2 linked regions of the Drosophila melanogaster genome follow. The protein of the gene in region 2 purifies or fractionates together with the protein of the main gene of each other region. This does not show direct contact. Each region holds a gene or a part of one and is shown on either strand. Other genes may lie near its edges.

Region 1 (4,478 bases), on a different chromosome or scaffold from region 2:
TTATTTTCGATCCCACTCACCACCAGAGCTTCAGCAGAACCACAGCCTAGTACACGGAAGCCAGAGGAGGTTGCAAAATTCGGTAGATGATTGCTCTTCTCCCCAGTTAATTAATTATTGCAGACCATTTCACACATCCCCCCCCACAAAGCATATGCATTCATATGTAGTTATGTAGAGAGCGTATATATGTATTCGGATTCGATATTTCACAAAACTATACACACCAAATTACGATATAGCAGTGTATATGGCAACAGCGCATTTTTTTCCTAATTGTAAAGATTTGATATTACAAATTTATATGCGCTGAGACGCAACGAAAACGGACATTTAGCGGGACGATATGAGACCGAATGGGATCGGGATCGGATCAGATCGAGAAATTCATTGAGAAGAATCGTAATTCGAAGGCTTGCAAGTGGATATAAACTATAAAGGCGAATGTATCACATCACACTCAGTGAATCGAAAAATATATAAAGGGAAATTATCGATTAAAACTAAACCAAAAATCAGATGCAGTTTCTATCTTTCGGGCTTGGGTAGTGCATCGAACACAGTTTTGCCTTCTCTTTATTAAACAATATAAATTTATTTATTTGCCTTAATTTTACACATATAAATTGCCTAAAACTGTTATTGTTTATTTCCCTTTCTCTTCTTTTCTTTTCTTTCGGTTCGCTTGTTATCTTTTCTTTTTCTTTTGTTTTTTGCGGTGTTTTTGCAGCTTGTATCAAGCACTCCGCCGGATTCGGATTCGCTATGCAGCGATCCATCTACAATCTAGACATTTATACACACACACACGGATCGACGCTCATAATTTACAGATTTGGGTCGTAGTCAACCGACTTGGCTCAAAGGTCGTCTAAACTAAACCCGATTCGTAATCAAATATTTAGAAAACCTGCGCAACGGAAGCGCGAGGCGAAATGAAATGGGAGTTAATAATTAATGGAATCCCAGACCGTAAATAACGCAAAGGTAAGTTAATATTAGAAGTAAAACAATCCTCGGGAGCGATGCGTATGCTGGTAGGGGGTTTCGCTATTCACTTTTCGCTTGCCTATGATTCATAGATATGAATGAATATGGTGTGGTTGGTGGCGTGGAGTACAGGTGCACGCGTAATCTAAATGTCTTTTGGTCTTGCGTCCTTGACGCTTGACTCCAACAAAGAACGCGCCGCTCCGAGTGGCCATGGAACTGCTTGATATTACAGAACCCAGAAATACATGATGAACACTAGAAGTATCATGCCCAAGGCCATCGCCTTCACGTACATGGACTTTCGGTTGAGCAGCTTGGCGTCCTTCTTGTACTTCTGTGACATCATCGATAGGTTCTGGGTCTTGGTGTCGAGTTCTGGAAGGAAAAACGGGGTGAACGTCAGTTGAATCCCACAATCACGCGTAGATAGTCGCGTAGATAGTAGTAGTAGTAGTTACCCGCCAGCACTGTGCCACGTTGGAGCACGTCGTCAATGTTTTGCACCATGATGCGCTGCACATCCTGCAGCTGTGTGTTGATGTTGCTGATGTTGCGTCTGCGGTCCGTCAACTGTTTTTTCGCCTTCTGTATGTACACGTCAAACTCGATGAATGCGTATGGGCGAGTCACTGAGTTTACTCGCCGGCCGTAGTTAGCATGGAACTCCTGGGCCAGGTCCTCCAGGTAATTGAAGGCCAGTCGCTTTGAGTACATCTTGTCCACCATCACCAGGTAGCAGACGTCGTTCTCGATTAGGTAGCTGCAGGGAAAATGTGGAATATTTTAATTGGGGCGCCCATTGCATCTTCTGGCTTTCGCAAGCAGTGAGCGTTTAATTTAACTTCGTATCAAATTACATCTATACTCTTTGTTCCGAAACTAAATCAACTGTCACTGACTACCCGCGGAGCCGAGAAACCTTTGTACATGGTGTGATTTTAATGGTCTATGCCCTGGCAAAGGTGCCACGAATTGGGGCTACTCACTGGAATAGGTAGGGTCCGGTCTCGATACTGCATCGAGCCGGGGAGTGGGTACCCAGCTTGCGGAAGAGCATCTTAGCCTGGTTTTGGTAGTCCAGTATGCTGCGTCCGCTCTGAAAGTGAAAGCGACTTAGTTGCGGGAGCGGAACGGAATGCAACGTATTAGAAAGTGATGCACACGGGTACCTGCTCGTCATCCTGCATGGTCCCCACCAGAGGAAGGCCATCGATGACCCTGGCTATCATGGTCAGCAGCGCCATGGCTTCTGCTGTTCCTGGTTACGATTGCTCGCGGAACTACGGGGCTGCGTCTCAAGTCTTCTTGGCCACGGCTGCACTCTGCCGTCGCCTCCTTCCACTGGCTGCTACTTATTCCGATGTGGATCCGCTGCAGTCCAGTCACCAGTGTGTGAAGTTTGTGTCCGGTCGTCCTCTTCCACTTCTTGGATTTCACAACTCAGCCGATCGGTCGGTGCTTGCCGCAGTGCTCCTGCGATGCCCGGGACTTCCAAATGGACTCTGCCTCGAATCGGGAACGTTCGCTGCTACCATGAAAACTGTGTTGCAACGTCGCGGCGGGCGGGTGTCTGGGATTGGAGTGGATTGGAGGTTTCTGTGGATGTTTGTTGCAATGTAACCACGTCACCGGTATGTCCGTGTAAATATACCGAATGGTGCGAGGCATACCGAATACCGCAGAGTATCTCAGAGTACCGACCGCCAACGGTCACATTAACGGAAGTCCATTATACCATTCGTTTCTTCGTTTCTTTAAATGCACGATATGGAAATACGCTTTCAACTCGTTTTCAAGCCAGCATGCCCCTGAAAATGGCGCTTTCGAGTTTCCGGGCTTTCCCGCAAAGCTATTTTCCCAGGTCTACAGCTTTGACAGCTTGCGCTCTGCTGTAATGTGGAGTTTGCTTTTTGTATGCGTGTGTTGTACACAGGATGCGGATTAAGGATCCCCAGAAGTTCAATAGAAGTACAATACTTCGATTCACCCATGAACCTGGCGCCCAGATGCATTGTTCTATAGCTGTTTTGAGTCCCAATCCGACCAATTGGTCTTTGGTATTTTTATTTTTTATATTGGCAATCGAGTTGCGAATATATTATTTCAAATATTTAAATATAAATAAATATTTATTTAAATTATTAACCAACATAAATCGAAATCCCTGGCACGTCGCGCCGCTTTCGCAGACTCAAATCCGCTGGCGCAGATGCCGGAAGTGGGTTGGACCCCCCAAAAGTCGATGACCAAGCCCAACCGGTTCGCCCGCGAAGACCATCCTCTGCATGGACATCCACATCCATCCCCAGAAGGAAAAGTGGTTCGCCCGCGAAACCGGACTTGGACTTGAGGCAGGGACCCAACTATATGGACTACCTGTGGTACTTGGCGATGGAGCTGCGTGCGAATGTGCGTTTCAAGCGACCACCGGAAAAATCTTTGCACTGGGAAAATAATTCATATCGAATGCGACTTATTCATCTATGTATATTATGAATTGAAGCCCTGCAAGCGAATGCGAATAACCATTCCCATTTCTGCTCATACCGAAGAATGCTAAGATATACACAAGTTTGTGATCAAAGCGGGAAAGCTTATGACATTATTTAAAATGCTTGTACTGTGATCTTAAATCGAATGCATTTCAATTAACTCTGAGCCCATCGAGGACTGCGGTCAACCTATTTTCTCATCGTGTGATCGGATCACCCGCAGCGGAATGCGTGCGCTTCCGTTTTGCTCGGCTTGGCCTCCTTCCTCGTTCCGTTGAAAGCAGGTATGTATATATAAGCCACTGCTCCACCTAGAGGCTCCACAATACAAAGTCAGTCATGGCCGGGTCAGTTCGTGCGACGCTCCTGGGTCTCCTCATGCAGATCCTGTGCAATGGGCTGGCTGGTCAGCAGCTGCTCCTCACACGTCCCCAAAGGAGCCTGTTCGAGACTCCGCTGGGTCACGTAGAGCAAGTGGAACAAGTGCCCTCTTTAGGCTGGAATAGTGTTGGTAGTGGACTCGGAGTGGGCGAGTGGCCCTACAGCCCCGTTGGTCTCGGCCACATGAGCAAGGATGAGCTGCTGACCCTGCTGGAGGCCTGGAAGGAGGTCGAGGAGGAATCGGCCACAACAACGACTGCGTCGCCAGCGGATGCCAGCACACGTAGACCTCCTCCGCCTCCACTGCCACCACCACCACCTCCTCCGCCACGACCCACACCCATACCAGTCTCCGTTGCAATCCCGTCACCGGCTGTTCCGCCCTCCGGCACTCCCATTACAGTGCGGCTCCCAGCCTTTGTGCCTGTGCGTCTGGCTGCCGTGTTTACTCCGCTTGCCGGTGGACAAGCTGATAGTGCTGTTCCGTCTGCCAACGGAGTCGGAGGGGCTGGAGGAGATGATTTGTCCACCGATGACGTGACAGATGATGACGGCGTCTCTACCCGGCTCTTTCGCTTTTTGCCCATGCCAGGAGCTCGAACGAGACCGCAA
Region 2 (2,897 bases):
CCTTCGAGGAAGTCAAAGTCGTGGCGGGGCTTCTTGACTGGCTGGTGTAATTTTTACGGCTTAACTAGGACTCCGCCGTGTCTGCGAAAAATGCAAAGTATATTCACGCATAAAACGCGTTATTTATGTCTCGGGCTCGACGACGCGTCGACCGAGAATTAATAACCAACCCCGCGATGGATGCTGCCATGATGCGCATTATTATGGCCAAATTATACACCTTATAAAACAGTTGGGCGCGCTGCTCTGCCGAAACCAAATTTTTATGTAAAGCAATTTATTTTGAATTATTTTTATGGCACTTAACGGTTGCGGTGCTTGCACACATTGGTGCAAAAAAAAAAAGAAATATGCCAAAAAGCTGACTAGTCAAAAATTTGTTTCTCATGGTCTACGTTCGTCTGTAGATGGGTTTTCGAACCCCAAAGGATTTCCCCAAGTGGCTCGGTTATTGTGTAGAATTTCACTCGATGAAATATGGGAAATCGATGTGCACTTTGACAGGAGTTTAAAGAGTTCAATGATATTGCGTGTTACCAAGTAGAAAGCGCTTTTAATAGCATGGTTTATTTAATCTTCGATATAATGCATATAAATACGGCACTTGTTTCTTTTCTTGGCTACGTGCAAGTACTAAATGTGACTATGAATAGTTTCAATAAAACTATAAAGGATTTAAAAATTATATCGCAAGTTAACTCCGGTGCCGAAATCGGACTTGCCGCGCATCGGTCCCCTGAGGTGATGATTGGCACTTCCGGTGGCGTTGAGGTTGAGATTGCCACTTGGAGAGGTATACAGATTTGCTGTGCCAGAAGCCTGGACGGCGGTCATGCCGAACTGAGGAACCCTAGTGACCCCCACTGCCGCCTGGTGACCCGTTCCAGTTTGCAAATTGAGTCCTCCGCCAAACTGATCGTGCGATCGGCTATGACTGTGAAATGCAGTGGCATTCAGAGCGGCGTTATTGCTCTGGAAGAGATTGGCTTGGGCTGCGGCAGTGGTAGTGCTGCCCACGCCCTCGATGTGGCCATGCTGCAGTGAGAGTGCATGACCATTGCTGTGGGATGAAGAGAAGAAAGTTTACAAAATTATAATATTTATTTTAGCATTTTTAAGAACTTTTACTGGACTTACGCGTTGACCGCTCCATAAACTCCCTTGGTGACCGGACCCCCAGCGCCTGGAGTGGAGGCGAATACTCCGGCTCGAGCATTGGCAAGATCATCACCGACCCTTACTCCGCATTGGGCGGTTGCCGCTCCGCTCTTTGGGTTTCCTGAAGCCTGACATTCCATCTTATATAATTCTTTGATTTCGTCTTTCTGCTTGCACTCTATCTCTTAGTTTGAGTGACTGCATATTTCCGACGGTCGCTTTTATACTCTCATGTCTTTTGTCGCAAAAGTACGCAACTTCGGTGATTTCCCCCTTTAATTTTCTCTTGTCTGTTAATCATCCTTAAATACACAGCCATATGCATTTGTTTTTCCCCTTTAGATATTGTGAATAATCTCAGTGGGACTCCCAAATGCTGGTATACGTATTGTAAATAAAGAAAATATTTTGTATGGTTCTTCCCATTCAAAGAACGCTAGTACTTTACATACATTTTTATACGTGGACCTCGTTGAATTACTTTTTAAGATCTTCTATTTGAAGAGCATGTCATTTCAGCTATTGACACTTTAATTTGAATTGGGCAAGGCAATTATGAAAATTTGGTCAGGCATATAACGCATGGCGCCGTGGCTTAGTTGGTTAAAGCGCCTGTCTAGTAAACAGGAGATCGTGAGTTCGAATCTCGCCGGGGCCTACACAAAAGATTGTGTCAGTATTTTTTAGTTTTTCATATCTTTTTAATTTTATCTTCATAGTATCATCTATCAAAATCAATACTTGACCTTGAGTTATTTTTAATGATCATTGATACCTCCAACCACCCACCACAGAAGTTTCCAAATTTTCAGGTTCAACATAAGTGGCGCCGTGGCTTAGTTGGTTAAAGCGCCTGTCTAGTAAACAGGAGATCGTGAGTTCGAATCTCGCCGGGGCCTTCTCTCAAACGCGAATTGTGTTGTGCGTGTTTTTTTTCCTACGGGGTATTCAGCTGTCAGTCTTTTGGAATCAGAATAAAGGGAAAACTCTCGTTTTTCTTTTGCACGTCTGCCCCAATGACAGCTGACAAAAAGTTTGGTCGGCGTAAACAGTGGCTACGGACTCAGAATCACCACCACCTCGCACATCCTTCTCGACATCCACCTGTTGTTGTCCTTGCAGTGGCGTTGCATAACGGAAACCGTCCGGCGGAAATGTTCGACAGCATGTTGCGATGTTGTCCACCGCAAGGTGGAAAAAAAACGACCGGAGATCCGGGGCCTCGTATATTTGCCTTGCAAATGGAACGAACGGCTTTTCAATTTCATTCGCTTTTCTGGATAAAGGGGTCTCCCTGCAATTAGCCGACAGTCAGCTTATTTGTTTCAATTTATTTACATGCACTCGGTTCTGGCTTATCTTGCTTTTTTATACACAAACGCACTCAAGCCCACCGATAACTCCGGGCCATATAATTATGTAACAATGGAGGGAAAAACAAACTTCTGACAAGCCGAACAATGGTATATTATATTTATAAATTTAATTTGCAGAGTCCTTTTTGCTTGTAAATCGGATACAGCAATGTCCTCTTCTAATTTCCCCCCGAGAATTAATATCTGGTCGTCTGCTGCGGGACTTCACTTATCGGATACAAAAGTTAGTTGAACGATTCCCTTTTGATGATCTCAAAGTTTGGCCATCTCCACTAAAATATCCCCCTAATATTTGCCCAGACGATATAAGCTCAGTTTCTGGGCCCCAACAACATGTGTTCAAGCATACATATATCATTCGCA

Evidence for each region. Proteins that work in one complex are often made in the same cells at the same time.
Region 1: the proteins of AttD (region 2) and Sec22 purify together in Drosophila melanogaster (affinity purification with mass spectrometry, with the first as the bait; one large-scale study listed by BioGRID). This does not show direct contact.

The regions. Positions count from the first base shown.
Region 1 is NC_004354.4:804,244-808,721, reverse strand, and holds Sec22 (secretory 22), read right to left. Parts: upstream 2,647-4,478; 5' UTR 2,238-2,646; coding exon 2,157-2,237; intron 2,090-2,156; coding exon 1,980-2,089; intron 1,754-1,979; coding exon 1,452-1,753; intron 1,369-1,451; coding exon 1,220-1,368; 3' UTR 522-1,219; downstream 1-521. Other genes in the region: CG13358 (uncharacterized protein), read left to right, coding at 3,825-4,478.
Region 2 is NT_033777.3:17,623,725-17,626,621, reverse strand, and holds AttD (Attacin-D), read right to left. Parts: upstream 1,355-2,897; 5' UTR 1,299-1,354; coding exon 1,138-1,298; intron 1,061-1,137; coding exon 676-1,060; 3' UTR 536-675; downstream 1-535.